3 linked regions of the Caenorhabditis elegans genome follow. The protein of the gene in region 2 purifies or fractionates together with the protein of the main gene of each other region. This does not show direct contact. Each region holds a gene or a part of one and is shown on either strand. Other genes may lie near its edges.

Region 1 (6,344 bases), on a different chromosome or scaffold from region 2:
TCATATAAATAATTATATTTTATATACTCACCCGGGTCATATTATTCACGTTTTCATAAATTAATATTTTGTATTTCCTACCAATTTTTATTAGCTAGAGTTAGGGCTGTTATGAGGGACGTCCCTTTTTGGGGGGCGGGGGCGATCATTCGTCCCCCTCATGGGGGCGAGGGACGCCCCCGTCCCCTGGTTGGGGGATGGGGGACGACCCTCGTCCCCGATGTGACGAAAAGTCGCGTCCTATTCATTTTTACTTATATTAGATATTCACCTCATTTAAAATATTTTTACGTGAAACTCGTTTCCGTTAAATTGTGCGGGTCCATCGTGGATATTCCACACAAAAAACGTGTCACTTTAATAATTATGAAGCAAAATCATAACTTGTTTTGCTATCGACATGGAGGATACAAACGCACATTTTTCGCACTGGATGAAGGAAGCGCCCCCACGAGGGGACGAGGGGCGCCCCTTTTCGTCCCTCATAACAGCCCTAGCTAGAGTCGTTTAACAACAGGAAAAAAAGTTAAAAAAATGAATGGTACAGTAGTTTTCAGTTTTAAAGATTAACGAACAAGGCAAAGCAATAAAATACAACAAAACAATGGAAGCTATGAAAAATTGGGAAATGATACAGTATCAATTATATTAGCAGCTTCACATTTCTTCGTGGCTGATGTGACGTACTAGAATTGGAAAATAAGGATCTTCTTGCTTCGCTTCAACCTTCATATTCTTGAGACTCACTGAAAAATATTTATTTTTATTTTAATTTGTGTCTCAACGACTAAATATCTTACAAAGAAGGCCCTCAAAGGCGGTTGCTGCCTTTTTACGATCGTGATCCGCAGTGAATTCATTGAAATTCACCCATTCTGGATATCTTGCTTCTGCTTCGCTGAAAAATTGATTTTTTTTTGATTTTTCGTAGTTCCAATTACGATCAAAACTGAGCGATTGACCTGCCAATGCGTCGCACAGAAAAAGAGGCGGGGTGTTGTTCTGCAAGCCTGCGGCTCGTGGACAACTATGAAATAATTTTTCGCGAAAATTCTGGATTTCGGAATATTTTCGCTAATTTCGTTGTTGTTAATATTCGAAATAAACTGACTATTTATGGTATTTTTCCGGCGAAAATGGCAAATTTTCGTTGAATAAACTCCAAATTTTTAGATTATTTCGAATATTAAACACAAAAAAATAAGCGAAAATTATCCGAAATCAAGCATTTTAGACAAAAATTTATTTACAGTTTTCCACAATGGCTGGCGAGCCGCAAGTTTAAAAAAACGACGCTCCGCCTCATTTTGTGTGCGGCGCCTTGCAAAATTTGCAGGTCGATCTTTCTGTTTTAGTGTTAGTATACACACTTGAGCAATTCCTTGTGGATGTTGAGCCGATTATTGGGAAGGAGACTTCCAGATGAATAGAAGAATAGTTCATCTTCTCTAGCATCTCGAGTCCGTTCTTCATCCTCGAATAGTCGATTACGGCGAGTATCCTCTTCCAGATCGTCAGCTGAAAATATTTTATTTTAAACTATAAAGTGGGGGCGACAACCGAAAGTTTGAAAAATAATCGGCGAGTATAACAAAAAAATCGAACAACGAAAATTCTCGATTTTTCAAAAATCCAAAAATAATGTTTTTTACTTTAGTAAAAAAAAAACCAAAAGCCCGACACAAACCATCGGTTTGCTTATTTTTTTAAAACAATTTTGGTCATTTTCTACCTAAAGAAATCCAAGATATTCTAAAGAATAAAATTATATGTTTTCTTATTTTTTTTATGAGCAAAAAAAAAATTGATTTTATGATTTAATGTGATTTTTATCGTTCATTCTCTGAAAATGTAAGAATTTTCGATTTTCGAGGAAAAAATCGAAACATTTTTGACCTTTTATTCCGAAAATTGGAATTTTTTTTTGGTAATTCGAGAACTGCCCAATTTAAACATTTTCGGCAATTTTCGGCAAAAATTATTTTCAACACTAAATCGACATTAAAATATCTCACTTCTCATAAATTGAACCCCTAAACTGCTTTTTTGACGGCGTCGAACATTTTCAAGTTCTTCTTCGGTTCTCATCGTCAAAAGTGGATCAATTTCTTCAACTGGAATAGGATCCAAATTCAGTTCAGCAATGATGCTCGTCTCCCGGCGTTTCTCTGGAGTTGGGAACAGACTAATAACTGAATATTTCAAATCTTTGATCGGCGTGGGCGTACGAGCAGTTCTTATTGGATGCGGGGGCGCTTCATATTCCAAATTCTCAAAAACTGGATTCTCCTGTAGCTGTCTTGGCGGGTTGATATTATCCGTAGATGGAAATTCTTCAGGTTGACGAGGTTGCTCTTCTAGAAGTAGAGTATCCTCAACGATGCGATTTGGAGACAGAAGACAAACTTTTGCATATTTATATTCTTCCTCTTCTTCCTCATCTTCATCCTCTTCATCATCGCTCACTGGACTTCCAACAGCTTGATTATAACAAGCTTTGAACATATCCCGAACCTCTGGAGGAAGACGATATCCGATACTGAAAACTGGTTCTGGTAAGTTCATGAGCACCGCGACTGCATCCGTTTTTGGTGGAATCTTTGCTATTACATCCTCCTTCTTACGAACCAGTGAGGAATAATCGGCTTGTAACACTTTTTGCACAGCTTCGTCGATTTCCAGATCATCGCTGTGGATGATCGGCAGATTGCGTTTCGATTTTTTCCGTTGAGGTAGAACATCATGAATTTGGGAGTCTATTGCGAAACTCGGATCTTCCGGTCGCACAGTTGAATGAAGATCTGTCAAATCGGTTTGATTAATCGGAGTTACTGGACGCGATGATGGTCTTCTTCGTGCTCTTTCCAACGCGTCTTCTTCCTCTTCGACTTTTGATTTCTTTGCTGGAGGTGGTAGAATTACATCTTCAAACAATTCTAAATCTTTCGGCAATGGTGGCAGTCGGCTGTTCTCGTCATCGGGTAAATCGTTGATCAATTGAAGATATTCAACAACCATATCCTGCTGACTCGCTGGAATGGTGACAAGATCAATTGCATCTAGTTGTGGTGGAAGCTCTGGCTGTGGAAGCTCAAGCTGTGGCGCGGGCTCCTCGATAATTGGTTGAATGGGCTCTTGAATAGGCTCCTGGGGTGCTGGTTGTTCCACGGTTTCACTCGGGAGCAGAGCAATAGAGACAAATTTTGTAGGCTCTTCTTGCACAATTTCAGAAGCTTCTTTGGGGAGCTGAAGAGCCTCTTCTTGCTCTTCCTGGAGGATAGCAGATCGTTTTCTGGAATCGACATCTATCGGAAATTTCTCGCCAAGTGTGATTTCAGGGATCTCAGGGAACAAAAGTTGGCTGAAGTCGGCAATTACCGCGTCATTTCGTCGTTCCTTGTTGTGCTCATTTGAACCGTTACCCTCGACAAACGTGGAGTGCATGGTGATTTCTTTTTCTCTGAAACACGAAAATTTTACTTTTGAAATTAATTTAAAATTAAACTATCAATCCATCAATTTTGCAAAAAGCAATGTCGCACAGAAATAGAGGCGGAGTGTAATTTCTCTACCCTGTGGCACGGTTTTTTCAGAGCTTTTGTTGATTTTTTTAAAATAAAATTTCGATTGTAATTGGTTTATTCTCTTTTTTTCGAATGGAAATGCAATCCGCATAAATTCTCATAAGATTATAAGGATATTTAGAGCTTCATTGGTTGTAAAAACAGGAAATATCCTCGCAATCTTATGCAAATTTAATTGGATAGCATTTTCATACGCAAAATGCGAATAAATCAAGGAAAATCGAAATTTTATTGAAATAAGGTGAAAAACCGTGCCGCAGGGTTCATGTGCGTCGCTGCTTTTTTTCAAAATCTGGGATCGATTATTCAGTTCCGAACCTCAGGTAAGGCTCAACACATCCATAGATCGCATTCAATTCTGAATTATTGTCAATCCACTGATTCATGTTGGGCAACGCATCCATCATTATAAAGTCTCCTGGATTTCCATTGATCTAGAAGAATATTCTTGATTATTGATTATTTAATTAACTTGAACTCACTCCCAATTCGTCGCCAATTGCTTGTAAATGAGCCAAATCAACCCGATCCAACTCCTCGACGCACATAATAGGCTTAGATCTCAGTCTTGCGAATTTATCTTCTTTTCTCTGCAACTCTTGGTTTCTGTCGAACCTTTCAGCCATCAGCAAAATGAAACTTTTCTTCTTCATGAGCTCTTTGAGCTTCTCGACGTCTCCTGAAAATATTAATTGATTTCTGACGATACAATTCTCCAACTCACGTTTCAAGAAATCAACCTGAACTTGATGGATCAAAACTGTTCCATATGTGAGCAGGGATAGCAAATAAAGTCCAGTTTTTGTTGCTGAGCCCCTGTGCCGTTCGGGAACCATTTCAATGATTGAATGACACAGTTCCGGGAGATTTTGGTCCAAAATCTCTCTTCGTGACAGCTTTTTCGAGTCGCCGGTACCAAGAATCCTGGAAAAGCAGAAATTATAAATTAGATTGAAAAGATGAGAAAACTCACCAAGCCACGTGAAACACGGCATCTTTTCGAATTACTTCCGCAGAGACAACCATCTGCAAGAAAATACATTTTCGACTGATTTTACGGTTTTCACAACGGCAAAATATCAGTTTTTAAAAAATTAAACCATAAAACAAATAATATAACCCAATTTTTACATCAAACCACAAGAAAAAAATACATTTGGGCCCACGGATAAAGAAATTAAAAAAATACATTTTTTAAAGGCGCACCGAATTAAAATTCATTTGGGTCTTACCGCGTATACCGTACTCCGTTTGTTTGATCATTTTTGTCAGCGCTGGCGGTTGTTTTTTCATTTCATTTCTGCTTCAAAGACGTTTTCTCGAATAATTTTTCGTTTATTCTCTTTTTTAAAATTAATTTCTAGCCGTAAATGTTATAAATTCACCCATTTAACGCAAATTTCATGGTAATCTCATGGAAAAATGCAGTTTCTTTGTTAAAGAAAGCTTAAATAGCAAAAATTCCCCGACTTTCCCCAAAATCCTGCTCGATTTTCCGTTTTCTCATTGTATTCTCTCTTAATTAATTTTATCGATAATCAATTGAATGTTTCAGACAGAGAATGAAAGCGGCATCAAATAGTGTCTCGTCGGCCGGAGGATCAGTGTCACCTACGACAACCCAGCCACCACTACCACCAGGGCAGTCGTCACATCCTCAAATCTACGATCAACAGGTATTCACAATCAACAAATGTTGATAATATTACAGTTATATTTTTCAGATGCAGTACTACTTCGCGGCTGCCATGCCGAACCAGCCAATGGCGACGTATGCGGCACAAAATGGATCTTCTCAACAGTACGCCCCAGCGGCTCCATATTATCAAGATGCCAACGGACAGTATGTGCAGGTTCCCGCGAACGGATCAATGGCTCCTCAACAGCACATGATGGTTTCTGGTCAACCGTATCTCTATATGGCTCAACCACAACAAGGAGCTCAGCAAGTCATGCAGTCAGGACAACCACAGCTCATCTATTATCAACAATCAATGGCTCCACAAGCGGCTCCAATGTACTTCCATCCTATGCAAGCCGCACCGATGCTTCCAGAACAAATGGGTGTGATGCCACATACGCAGCCGGCAATTCCACCTCAACAACAGCCAAGACAAGTGGGAGTGGAGATTAGTAGCACACGCACAGCTCCATTGACCTCGTCTACTCCTCTTCCAACAAGTCTCGAATACGAGACTGTTCAGCGTGATAATCGCAACAGGAACATCCAATTCAGATATCATCGGTAATATTAGTTTGAAATTTAATATAAAAATTATATGTTTTTCAGTGTTATGGAGCATGACGAGTTGCCGATCGATGAGATCTCAAAGATCACCCTTGACAATCACAACGATGACACGATGAGCGCTGAAAAGGAAAATCATTTCCATGAACATCGTGGCGAGAAGTTCGGTCGTCGTGGATTCCCAATTCCAGAAACTGACAGTCAACAACCACCCAACTACAAGACTCGTCTTTGCATGATGCACGCATCTGGAATCAAACCATGTGATATGGGTGCTCGATGCAAGTTTGCTCATGGGCTCAAAGAGCTCAGAGCTACTGATGCTCCGGCTCGCTATCCGAACAACAAGTACAAGACAAAGCTGTGCAAGAACTTTGCGCGTGGAGGAACTGGATTCTGCCCGTATGGACTTCGTTGCGAGTTTGTTCATCCAACGGACAAGGAATTCCAGAATATTCCTCCATATGTGAGTTTCCACTTTTGCTCATCATTTTTGAAACTTTAACATATTT
Region 2 (5,021 bases):
GGAGACGTTATTCGAATCTGAAAATTAATTATTTTTATTTAAAAATCAATATATCTCCAATTAATCTCACTTTTTCAATACCCTCTTCATTATTGGTAACAGCTGATATGCGTAGAGAACATAGTCGACCGTTGAAAATGGAAAAATCACTCTCGTAGAGCACCCTCGAATCGATTAATGATGTCATTTATCCTGAAAAACGTTGATTTTTTTCAAAATGTGGCGAACTAAATAGAACCCAAAAAGAGAAATTCATTAAAAAAACACAATTCTTAAAAACTTTAGCTGGAATAAGAACAGAATGCCAAAGTGAAATCGATTAGAGTAAAGAGCGAACGGCCACTGAAAAAAGGGAAACAAGTGTATGTCACCGCGCTCCTTTGAGAAAGAAAACGGCGCTATGTTCAAAAAAGAACGCCAACGAAAGAATTCTGAAACGCTGGAAAATACTTGAATAGCTCTAAATATTTCATCACATGCAAGTAATATTTTGTATTTTAACAAATTCCCATCATCATCGGATATGAAAATTAATATTTAAAAAATTCATTCGAAAACTAAGGCATTTGTCCAACTATTAAAAAGGAAATCGAAGAAACAACAAAAAAATGGAACAGATTGATAATTGTACACGATTGTCCAGAAATCGTTCAGTTTCCTCTTCTACTTGGCATGTTCGGCGACTGGCCGTACCTCATTGCCTTTGGAGGGTTTGGTTTGAATTTCTTGGAAGTCGATTGGTTTTGAGTGGAGCTTTCGGTATCTTCCTGTGGATCTACGTCACTTAACGAACCAGCTACATCAAGAATACTCGAAACTCGGCCGTAGTGTCTCTCTGTGGCAATAGCTGGAGCGGCACCTGATGGATCTACGTCAGCGAACGAACCAGCTACATCGAGAATACTCGAAACTCGGCCGTAGTGTCTCTCCGCAGCAATAACTGAAGCTGCTCCTGCTGGTTGCTCCGTGACAACCGTTTGAGCTTCTTCAGACTGATGCTCCGTCACAATGATTGGAACGCTCTCCGATTGATGACCAGTAACATTAATTGGAGCTGCTTCTTCATGCTGCTCGGTGTCAATTGATAAGTCGGCAAGTCCCTCAACAGCAATTTCATTTTGAGCATCTTGAGCATCATTTTGAGCATCGTTCTCCTCAGCCCTTGCTACATCCAATATACTTGGTACACGACCGTAGATGGGACTTTCACGAACGTCTTCCTCCACTGTATCGTCAGTTGGCAGATCAGCGACGTCGAGAATACTCGACACTCGTCCATATTTTCTCTTCCGTGGTCTTTTATCCGGGATACTACCGTTCGCCAAATCTACCTGAGCCTCTTCCGAAACCGGATTTGCAACTGGGTCTGGTTTTTTCCTGTTAATAGAAGTATTTGAAACGCCATATCTTGCTGTTGAGCTCTCCTGCTTCTCAGATGTAGTATTATCTAGATCCGCAGCTTCCTCAGGTATTGCAGACTTTGATTCATTTCTCTTCTCGGGAGAGGTGATAATAGCATCAGAGTCAATTTGAAGAGAATTCTGAGCATCAGAGTCAATTTGAAGAGAATTCTGAGCATCATCATCATTTTGTTCTTCTGGCTGTTCATCGACTTCAACTGGAGGTACAAGCCGACGAGCACTTCTCTGTAAATTATTGAACTTAACATTTTTATTATAACAATAAAAATAATTACCCTTTTTGGGTTCACTATTGGTTCTTCTTCTTTCTGTTCGCATCGTTCATTGTTCTTCGTGGTGCGTTTACTGGAACGTCTCATCTGAGCTTTTGGCGCTTTTTGAGGTTGCTCTTTCACCGGGGACTCCACGGGAGAAGCCGGTTCCGTTGGAGTTATCGGGACAGCGGGAGCTCTCGTTGAACGTTTCTTTGCAGCTTTCACTATTGGAGAACGTTCCCTTTCAACAACCATTGGAACTTCATCATTATCAGCAATCAATACATTATATTCGGACTGCAGAACCATCATTTCACTGGCCATACTTGGATTACAACGAATTGATTCGTTTGCCACATCTTCGTCCATACGTACTTCTTGACGACCTATAAACATTAGAAAATTAATTTTTTTTCTCGACAAAACGCACCTGGTGAAAAATAGATTTCGTCAAGTTCAGGATTCTCAGCACAATTCATTGTGTTATCTCGAACAACTTCGATCGGTGTGATCGTTGAGTTGAGCAAATCATCTTCAAAATGAGAAACTTCCACTGGTGGACGAATGGCTGAAGGCTGTTCAACCATGAATTTCGAGGCATATGCGAATTGAAATCTGAATCAATTTAATTAAGAATTTGATGATTGAAATGACGAACAAACCCATTGCCGTGAGGAAAACTAACAGCACCAAGATTGATCTGCTCAGGATTCACAAAATCGTCGACTTGTTGAAATCCGGGAACGAATTCCGGTTCTAAAACAATAATTTATTTATGATTTAAATTAAATATTTTTAACCTTACCTCCTCTGTATGCTACTTTCATCGATGGAATGAGGCCTCTTGGTAGCGGACGGAGCAGGCTTAGAACATTTCTAAGCTCGCTGAACATCTTGCAAAACTGTTGAGCAGTATCATCCATGTTTAAATAATTCACCACAAATTTAGATTTACGCCTGGAAAAGAGTCAGTGAAATTTATATTTAGATAAATGATCTAACCCTCCGTATCCGATTTCGGCACTTGCAGATGTGGTTGAGTCATAGACAAAGGTCCAGACAAACGTTTCCACGGGATTCGTGTTTAGTGACTCTTCAACGACAATAGCGAGTTTCTGCAAACAATGAATTTTTACCACTTACGAGAGTAAAACTGTACCTGAAGGAGTTTCTGACGGATCGCGTCATGAGACGCCAAAAGCTTCGAAGACACACTCCGTCCTTCTGGAATGTCTTGTCGCAAAGTATATCCGCTGACATCTCCTATAAAATAATTCATGCTTAATTGCAAGTCAGATAGATAAAACCTCACCATAAACTTGAAAATCCTGGAAGTATTCCGCAGGAATAACTTTCCGTTCACGGAGAATTGTTGAGTTTGCAAGATAAACGCAGTTGGCCATCACTTCAAGAGAGCTTTTCGAATTTTCATCACCATTTTTCAATGTTTGCTCGTTGAATATAGCCTGAAAATTTTCGTTTTCTCGACAAAAAAAACTCTGTCAAATCTACTCACCCTGTCATCACTCGTCAGAGAGCCAGGGACAACAGAAGAGTCGAAGCTTTCGTCCATTTTGACACTTAAAATATTTTAAAACATTTTTTTTAATTAAAAACTAATTGAAAATGAGAAAAAACTGAAAAATAAATGAATAATTTGACATAAAATAACTAATTTCAACCGAAGTTTACCGTAACTCAGGTCAACATGTTGTGTTCTCGTGTCGAGACCCATGGAAGAAATGTCATGCACCTTTAAGTTTTTTCTTTTATATTTCAATTTTTTTCCGTTCATTTTCTACTTAAAATGCACTTTCAAGAGAATTTCTCATATTTTGAAGTTTTAAAATTGTAGTTTATTAAAATCTGAGCATATCTCTATGTATTTTGAGTCTAGAAACCGCTTTGAAATGTGCAAAGAACAGATGAAAGCACTTAAAATTTAAATAAACGTTTTTTACTTATTCATTTATTGTGTTTTTAAGCTTCTATATTTAATAATGAGACATTAATTTCAGATGAAACCGACGACGAGAAGCGCATCAAAAAGAGCAAATGCGGAATCTTCGGGAGTGAACCAGCCCGAGAAGAAATCACGAATTCCTGAAACAGAAATTGTAGAGGATCCGTTGGAGATCGAAGTACCGCCCGCATCGGCAGATGGCACTGACAACAAGAGTTTTTCAGAAAATGAATACGACGATGATCACAGTAGCAGCAGCGACGAGGAGAGTGATGATGAATACGTTGTGGAGACTCACAAGAGTTCGATGGTGGATGCTGCAGAAAGTTCCGAAGGCGAGCGACCGGATGAACGCGTATGCTGCCTTTTAAAAAATTTTTATCGATTTAACTTCTTTAAGATTGTCCGAGAATTAGAGCAGAAAATTGCTCGTGGGTTGAAGAACGACAGGATTCTCAAAAAGAAAAAGAAAGCGTTAGATGGGGAAGTCTCAGACACTGAAGACGTGGTTTGTGAGTACGAACCACAAGCGATGCCGAAGCAACGAAGAAGGCGACTGTATAGAAGAAAAATGGTGGGATTTTAATGCTAGTTGTTGAAATTTAGAAATGATTTCTTGCAGACCAGACCTCAAGGAGTCCCTAAAAGACGTCGCATCAAGAGACCGGACCTGGAACTTGCAGATGATTACACCTGTGACACTTTTGCTGAGCAAGGATTGACTCTGAAGGTGTGTAAGAATTTATAATTTAAATATTTGCAATAATTTTTCAGTCTTTGACAAGTGACATCAAACAAGACGATCCTGAAGTCGATTGGAAAGCAATGAGAAGGATGGGTATCGGAATCAGATCAACAAAAAGAGACGAAATCAATTCCGATGAGGATGAAGCGGATATTATTTCGCATTCATTTTCTTTCTACCAAACAAGAAACTCTAAAGAGCAAGTGGCACAGGCCGTCGAACTAAATATGAACCCTTTTTCGGAGAAGATCGCGAGCTACAAGTAATTGTTAAGAGAAATATCATGAATAAATATTATGTTTTCAGTGCTCCAAAGTCCGTTCATGGATACAGTCGATCTTCAATTCAAAATCAACATTCAGGATTTATTGACAAGAACGACATCAAATATCCGGACGAATTATTATGGCAGGAACCATTTACGTGAGTATTTTAAAACCATATATATTGATTAAGAATATTTTTCAGCCATCTCGTCTTCTTCCAATCCACATTCAATGCTCACGAGTCTTCCATCAAGTTCCTGAATAATGTCGCAAATTCAAAAAAGCAGGAAAGAGACTCCAAACTGATGAAGGAAATTCGCGAAAGGATTAAGCAGAAATCGCTCGGACATGTAGATGTTCCAATCGACTACA
Region 3 (7,601 bases), 130 kb from region 2:
ATAAAAACAGTAATGTATAAGAGAGAAGAGGGAAAAACGTTTGAGACCTTTAAATGCGGGGAACTGTGTGACTGAGTGAATCGGTTTTTGATAATTAAGAAATAATGAGGGGTAAGGGAATAGTAATAATGAAATTATACAGATGATTTGATAGTCGCGGTTGTCAAAAATTTATATAATTTATGTTGCAATCGATGGTGTTGGTGGATTTTCAGTCATTTCATTGAGACCAATTTGTTTGAAGCGCGTCAAATCGAAAGTGAGAACACCAGATGTTGTACAAGCGGCTGGATATGGGAAGATTCCGATGAGTGAGTCAGCTTTGTTGTAGAACTCTTCTTTGAGAGAAATGACGATAATTTGCATATGCTCACGAGCTGATTCACAGATGTACGAAGCGACCTGAAATTACAAAAAAAACGTTACAATCTTTTCTCGCAGGTTATACTAAAGGCGGAGTAAAATCGTTTTGAAATTTTGCTTAAAAGTTTGATAGTTTGATAGTTTTTTAGATCAACTATCAAAAATATGCAGAAAAACCGGAGGATTTACCCTTATTTTATAATTTTTGTGTTTTACAACAGTAATATTCGGTCATTACAGTCATTTTTCTATCTTTTGAAGCAAAATTTAATTTTAATGAACAGTTTAAATAAATACCTTTCCAATATTAGTATTATCCAAAGCAGCATCAATCTCGTCGAGAACGAAAAACGGAGCAGGATTACGTCCGTGAACTGCAAAAAGCAGTGCCAACGCGGCAATTGTCTTTTCTCCTCCAGACAAGTTATCCATCGGACGGAAACGTTTTCCAGGAGCTACACAATTGTACTGGATACCATCCAGATAGGGCTCTTCCATGTTATCAGCTCCGAGGAAGGCTTGAGCAGAAGTATTTCGTGAGAGTTGCTTGTAAATGTCATCGATAGTGTTGGCCACAGGATCGAAGAAATCTTGGAAGCGTCGGTAGCGATCGGTTTTTACCTGAAAAAAACAATATTTTAAAATCGATAAAATATATGAGAAAAGTGAAATTGAAGAGGTGTGAGAGATAGAGGGGACAGATTGAGTGACAATATGGGTACAACTGTTGTCATTTTAAAGTTATGAATGTCTATGTCTCTTATCTCTAATGTTTTTGTCACTTGGTGTCCAGAAGGTGCACATTTTCATTTCAAGGAATTTCAAGAATATTCTTATTTTCAGTATAGGAAAATTATCGCAAAAAAATTATTTTAATGAAGCGGTTTTTTTTTCGGTGATTCAAACATGTTGGTTCAACGTTTTTAATTTAAAAAATGTCAAAATGTAAAAAATCACCCGATATCTGTGAAAATAACATTTTTTGAGTACTTTATCAAATCTTTTGACTGAAATAAATGTTCTTTTCAGATAAATCAAGAGATTTTCTATACTTTGAAAAAATAACTGATGCCCACTCCTGATTTGAATCCATTTTTGACATTTAAAAAATAATGCATTTTGTAGGTTTTAAATATATATTTTTTAGCTAATTTTCTAGTTTTTATCTAGTCAAGGAATTTTTTTTATTTTGGCCCACAAAATTATGTGTAAAATCTAAATTTTTCAATGTCTAAAATGGATTCGAAGCTCTCCTAAACTTTCATTTTTATCGATACATTTTCAGATACTAAACGTTTGGAATTTCTTAATAACTAACCTTCTCGAACTGTTGCCGAATTCTCTTCGCCTTCTTTCGAGCATTTTCAAGTTCTTCAGTCGACTCGGCTTCTCGTTCTTTCACCTCTGCCATTCTCTGATTGGCTTTCAAATTCGGCGCATTCATTTTTGACACATTTTTCTGCAGTTCATCGATTTCCACATTGAGTCGATTCGACATTTGCCGTACACCATCATCGTCATCCACCTGTAATGCAAATCGTGTGAATCTAGAAATGAACTAAAACACGGAGGGGGGCAGGGCGGGGCGGGGTTGGCAAAAGAGCAAATAATTTTTGATCAGCAACCATCACTAACAGGACTGCTGGTTTTTTTTAAACCGAAAAAGTAGATTTTTTTCGTATTTTGTTTGGCTCAAAAATCGAAAAAATTTAGGGTCAAAATAGTTCAGAAAAAATAAATAAATTTTTGTTGCCAGTATTTTTTCGGTTTGCTCAGAAAACCGAAACATGTCTTGGCAGCACTAACATCTTTATATTCTCGCGGTAACGAGTCGTAGTTGATTTTGATGTGTTGCTCTCGTTGAATTTGCTCCTCTGATACACTTGGACCATCGGTGGCTGATTGAGAAGACTGAGAAGCTGTGTCATCTGAAATTAATTGGAACTTGAAAGGAAACAGGGAGACAAAAATTATGAAATATATATCTAAAAGCTGAAAACTGAATTATGGAAAAGTGAAAATGCGATTTTTTCAAAACATCAAAATCAAAATAAATATCCAACCTCCATCATCTTCCTCATATTCAACGTCAGCCATACTTCCTGATTTGAGTGGTAACGCAATTTGCCCAAGCTTCACAGAATGAAGAAGAGAGTGCCGTTCATATTGCTTCTTAGTAAGCAAACTTTCAAGACGAAGAAGCTCTTTTTCAGCCTTTGTAAAGTCTTTCATCGCAACTTGTGCAATTTTTTTGACCTCATTCCACTCGGTTTCCAATTTATGTGATAAGGCCTTCTTCTCTTCCAGCACTTCCTTGTCTTGCTCCATGGATTCCGTGTGCTCTTTCAAAGCGGCCGCCGCCGTTTTCTCTTTTTTCTTCATGTCCTTATATTGTCGGTCGATTTGTGAAACCTGTAATAAAAATATTTCAAATAAGGTAAACAAAACAATTTTAAGAATCTTAAAGAAACTGATAAGGAGTTTCTTTACAAAAAAATGAAAAACGTACTTTCTCCTTTTCAACTTCAACTTTCCGATTGCCATCTTGCTCGGTGACAAAGTCAATTTCGTAGGCCAACTTTTGGATATCATCGTCAAATGATCGAAGCTTGTCTTCCATTTCTTGCTTGATACGCATTTCACGATTCTCATAGTCACGAATCGATGCGATTCCAACACGAGTACAGAAATCAGCGAAAATTCGATCAGCCACTTCATTGCTCTTCGTTTGCAGAGATTTTAAAGTACTTTCACTGCGTTCAAGTTTTTCTTGACAATTCGAGATTCGCGGCTGAAAATATATCAATTTTTGCAGATTACAAATTTAAAAGGAGGTCTAATGGCTCCAAAATTTGCTCCAAAATAAATAAATTTTTGAAAGATTTTTGAGAATTTTCATTACGAAATTCGTTAAGTTGAGCACTTTTTGGGGTTATAATTTTTTTTTTCCAGAACCGTTGGTCACTAAAAATAATCACCGGAAGCATATTCATCTCCGCGGTCATGCCTTCAAGCTCATTTTGAAGTCTTTCCAACTGCATTTCTCGCATATTCTTCAGATCTCGCTTCATCATTGCCAATCTTTGCTCATTTCCATTAATCTTGGAGCGTACACTTTCCACTTCGAGTTCACGACGACGATGTTTCTGAAGATCCGCGATTTTTTCGTTCAGTTGGTTCCGCTTTTCTCGGAGTTGTCTGGAAAAATATTAATGTTTTTTTTTCAATTTAATAAAAAATAAAATAAAAACTCACTTGACAACTTTCTCGTCCCATTTCTTGGACTTTTGTCTCAAATCAGCAGAACCTCCGGACATAACTCCAGATTGTTGGAACAGAGTTCCGTCCATCGAAACTGCCTTGAAACGATCTTTCAGCTCTCCTCCACCGTATGCAAGCTGCTTAGCATCTTCTTGACTCTCACAAACTAATGCGTTTCCACAAACGAATTGAAGAGCTTTTCTAGCTGCTTGATGTTGAGGATTGATGACATCGAAGACGAGCTTCACTCCAGCTGGCTTTTTGATTTCACGAAGTTTTTCATTTAGTGGATTAACAACTAGTGCATCATTTGGAAGGAAGGTTTCTGGGGGATAACGGTGATCCTGGAAATTAGTTATTATGAATTGAAATTTTGGAAGTGAAAAAAGAACAAACCTTCAGATAAACAATTGCCTTGGCAGCAGTCTCTTCAGTATCACAAACAATACTGTTCATATGCTTCTGAAGAATCTTTGTGGTGGCAATGTTGAACCGTTTATGAGACGGTTGACAGAGATCGACAAGTCTACCATACACACTCTCCGGGAAATTCTTTTTCAATCCTTCAAGTGCCTCCGTTCTTCTTTGATTTCTTTCTCCTTCTGCAGAATCTCCAGAAGCTTCGGAGAGTTGACGAACGACAGCTACAAGCTCTTTGTTGTATTCCGCTGCTGCTGATTTATCAATAACAACGTCATTTTCAATCTTCTTAAGATCAGCTTTCAAGATCTTTGTCTCTTCTTCAGTTTCCTTGATTCTTTGAGCAAGAGTTGCAATTTGAGTTTCAATTCTTCGCACATCACCTTCCTTCGCTTTAACTCTTTCTTGATGCTCCTTTTGGCGTCGAAGCTCATGATTTAGAGAACTCTTATCACCTTCGAACACTTGTTCGGCCATCAATAGCTCTCTTTGAACCATTGCTGATTCTCGCTGAGCTTGATCTTTCAGCTGTCCGTACTCACGTACTTGTTCATCCGAAAGATTTAACTCGCCTCTTTGCATCATATCCTGAATCTCTGCTTCATATGCGGCCTTCTTCTTTTCTAGCTCTTTTTTGCTTTTCTTCAAATCCGCCAGCTGAGTCGAGTTGTTCTCTGCCTTACTTTCTGCAGCGGCAAGCATCTTCTTCGCAATTTCCAGCTTCTTGTGCTCGTGAGCAACGGAAACTTTCAATGTCAGCATATTTTGTTGCTTTTCAGCCAAATCCGTCTCTTTCTGATCGAGTTTTCTTGTCATCTTCTGAACCTCGCGGAGAGCTTTCCGGTGCTCCTGATGAACCGCAGCGATTTTCGCTTCTTCTTTCGACTGTAATATATAATTTTGATTATTTTTATATACTATAAATCAATCAATCAAAATTTTACGATAAAATATTGAACAATATTAGCTTCACCGGAAAATAACTTTTGTATAACTTGGAAGAACTGCTTTTTAAGTTGTTCCAAGTTAAATAAGTAATTTTCAGATAAAGAAAATATTTTTCTAAAGTTTATCACAAAATATGAATGAAAAATATTGGAAGAACGTCATTTAGTAGAATTGCCTTCATCATACCCTAGTTGCTTCGAGACTTGCAATCGTCTTTTTCTGAGCGTTGATCTCCTCTTTTGATTCGTCGATCGTCCGTTCGCAATGGAACAATTGATGGAGAAATAGCATCGTCGATTTTGCAGCCAGCTCATTCTTCATGGTTTGATACTTTTCAGCTTCATCTTTCTCCATTTTTGCCTCACGTTTCTCTTGAGCGATTCCTCGTCTCTTGTTCATATTGTGTTGAGTATCATCTTCAGCTTTTGTCATCTCAACTTTCAATCTTTCATACTCTGCTTGAAACTCGTGTGATCGTGAGAGCTCCTCGAAGAGTTGAGTACGTTCTTTTGGAGTTTTCATGGCAATATTTTCGATAGCTCCCTGATATACCAGAAAGTTTCTTGCCTTGATGAAGATATTGATACTTTCCATTTCTTGTGAATATGCTGCACTTGTGACAGTTTGACCATCAAGAAGATGTTCAGATGTTCCATTATTGACGCCTCTGGTGAATGCCTTGACTTTTCCGTCAGAATATTTGTAGTTCATAGTGACACGACATTTCTTAGCAACTGGCTTGTTAATTGGTGCACCATGAATCAAATCCTAAACATTATTGATTAAAATCTTCTATATTTTATACTTTTTCTCTTACCGCATACTTTCTAACACGCAAACTGCTTGGCTTCTCTCCGAGCACGAACGAAATTGCGTCCATAAGATTTGATTTTCCTGAACCATTTGGTCCAATGATAGCTGTGAATCTTGTAAAGGGTCCAATAGTATGTTTTCCCTTGTAAGATTTGAAGTTTTCGATCTCGAGTGTGTGGAGAGTTCCTTTGCCTGGAAAACTATCCAGCGAGCTTCCGCCACGCATTATTAGTCTGAAGAATTAAGTAAAAAGTTATAGTTGAACAAGAATAAGAATGGTGAGGTAATTTTTGGTAGATAAACCAATATCATACATGGAATAAATAAAAATAGATAATAATGAGAAACCAGTTTAGTTTATTTTAAAAAAAGTGAATATACATTATGACCAGGTTTGCCGATAATTTGAGGAGCTGATTAAATCATGACAATGCATTTTCCCGATTGCTTGGTGAACTCTGTGTGCTGGGAGTTCCAAGGTTTTGAATAAGACGGACAAGGTTCAACGGTGAAACGCCCAGTGATAGTAACTGAAATAAGTGAATAAAATACTGGGAAAATCGATAAAATCTCACCCTCTCCACTGACGAAACCTGCTCAGCTGTGAGGAAAACATTTAGAAATTTTCCCATTTCAACAATGCCTGTAAATGTAAAAACATTATCGATTTATATTGAAAAAATTCAACTTACGCTGGGTGTGTTTCTTTGGGTCGCTCATAATCGATAAAATAACGGGGAGATAAGTGAAATTGATGATCCTTAAATAGAAAAATATAATTTCAATCCGTTGTTGTCAGAAATAACAATAATAAAGCATAAATTATCGAAAAATCACTTAGTATCGTTAGATGAACAGGTTCAAATTTGAAATGTGAGGACGCTAAACGAAACGCATAAATGTTACTGCGGAGTGTCGTAGTGTTGTTTTTGGAGGAATATTAAAATGAATTTCTTGCAATATTTCGTGATAAAGATGGTACAAAAGGTAATAAAAACAATAAGAAGTTAGTATTGAAAAGTTAAAGATTATTAGAGAAAAAACAACAGAGAATGTTGTAAAAGAGCATTCCTAATGCCACGCTGATTCAAAAACTCTGAGTTAGTACGCGGAACTTGCTGAGAACATCAATAAAAAATACAATTTTCAATAAGAAAACAACTATTTACATAAAGCAACAGATCGAAGAGAAGTAGTTAAATTCGTCAAACCTAGTGTAAATTTTTGTTTTTTTTTGCATGGTAGAGTCAATTTTTTATTTTTCTGATAGTACTAAATTAAAAAAAACAACGAAATATGTGAAGGAAATCGCAATGAATTGAAAAATTTCTCTGAAAGGCTGCCGTAAATATACATTTAAAGGGACACAGACTCAGTCGTTCGGGTCTCGCGGCGATTTTGGAAGTCACGTTTGAGGCCCCACGAAAAGGGGAGCAGAACGAAAAGGGGATCTGCGAAAAGGGGAGATACGAAAAGGGGAGATACGAAAAGGGGAGCAACGAAAAGGGGATCTGGCTGTGCCAAACGCTATTTTTCTCGAAGAAAACGATACAACGATGCTCCGATGTTACGCGTCGCGTGTTGTTAAGCGTATCTTCTAGAAGAAAATTTCAAAAATCAACGTGCGTTGCGTGAGAAAAATTGCGTTTTGTGCGTTTGGCACAGTGCCAGCTCCCCTTTTCGTTGCTCCCCTTTTCGTATCTCCCCTTTTCGTATCTCCCCTTTTCGCAGATCCCCTTTTTGCAGATCGCCTTTTCGTTCTGCTCCCCTTTTCGTGGGGCCTCCCAAAACAGGAT

Evidence for each region.
Region 1: the proteins of htp-3 (region 2) and rec-8 purify together in Caenorhabditis elegans (affinity purification with mass spectrometry, with the first as the bait; one study listed by BioGRID). This does not show direct contact.
Region 3: the proteins of htp-3 (region 2) and him-1 purify together in Caenorhabditis elegans (affinity purification with mass spectrometry, with the first as the bait; one study listed by BioGRID). This does not show direct contact.

Annotation. Positions count from the first base shown.
Region 1 is NC_003282.8:13,348,584-13,354,927, forward strand, and holds rec-8 (Meiotic recombination protein rec-8), read right to left. Parts: upstream 4,611-6,344; coding exon 4,558-4,610; intron 4,509-4,557; coding exon 4,309-4,508; intron 4,264-4,308; coding exon 4,067-4,263; intron 4,019-4,066; coding exon 3,903-4,018; intron 3,461-3,902; coding exon 2,016-3,460; intron 1,519-2,015; coding exon 1,371-1,518; intron 899-1,370; coding exon 801-898; intron 747-800; coding exon 658-746; 3' UTR 539-657; downstream 1-538. Other genes in the region: Zinc finger protein mex-5, read left to right, coding at 5,147-5,260, 5,309-5,829, 5,875-6,298.
Region 2 is NC_003279.8:4,825,306-4,830,326, reverse strand, and holds htp-3 (HORMA domain-containing protein), read right to left. Parts: upstream 3,256-5,021; 5' UTR 3,249-3,255; coding exon 3,192-3,248; intron 3,142-3,191; coding exon 2,988-3,141; intron 2,939-2,987; coding exon 2,835-2,938; intron 2,791-2,834; coding exon 2,678-2,790; intron 2,633-2,677; coding exon 2,481-2,632; intron 2,432-2,480; coding exon 2,338-2,431; intron 2,291-2,337; coding exon 2,106-2,290; intron 2,062-2,105; coding exon 1,697-2,061; intron 1,647-1,696; coding exon 651-1,646; 3' UTR 531-650; downstream 1-530. Other genes in the region: F57C9.4 (C2H2-type domain-containing protein), read right to left, coding at 1-17, 71-187; tofu-4 (Twenty One u-rna (21U-RNA) biogenesis Fouled Up), read left to right, coding at 3,694-3,993, 4,039-4,212, 4,261-4,368, 4,413-4,645, 4,690-4,806, 4,852-5,021.
Region 3 is NC_003279.8:4,951,630-4,959,230, forward strand, and holds the start of him-1 (Structural maintenance of chromosomes protein 1), read right to left. Parts: upstream 6,039-7,601; 5' UTR 6,032-6,038; coding exon 5,810-6,031; intron 5,761-5,809; coding exon 5,179-5,760; intron 4,930-5,178; coding exon 4,021-4,929; intron 3,969-4,020; coding exon 3,619-3,968; intron 3,562-3,618; coding exon 3,342-3,561; intron 3,155-3,341; coding exon 2,873-3,154; intron 2,776-2,872; coding exon 2,427-2,775; intron 2,292-2,426; coding exon 2,170-2,291; intron 1,889-2,169; coding exon 1,682-1,888; intron 985-1,681; coding exon 661-984; intron 403-660; coding exon 181-402; 3' UTR 1-180. Other genes in the region: mzt-1 (Mitotic spindle organiZing protein (MOZART) homolog), read right to left, coding at 6,228-6,335, 6,381-6,448, 6,498-6,525. UniProt on the Caenorhabditis elegans protein: Involved in chromosome cohesion during cell cycle and in DNA repair. Required for chromosome segregation during mitosis. Central component of cohesin complex. The cohesin complex is required for the cohesion of sister chromatids after DNA replication.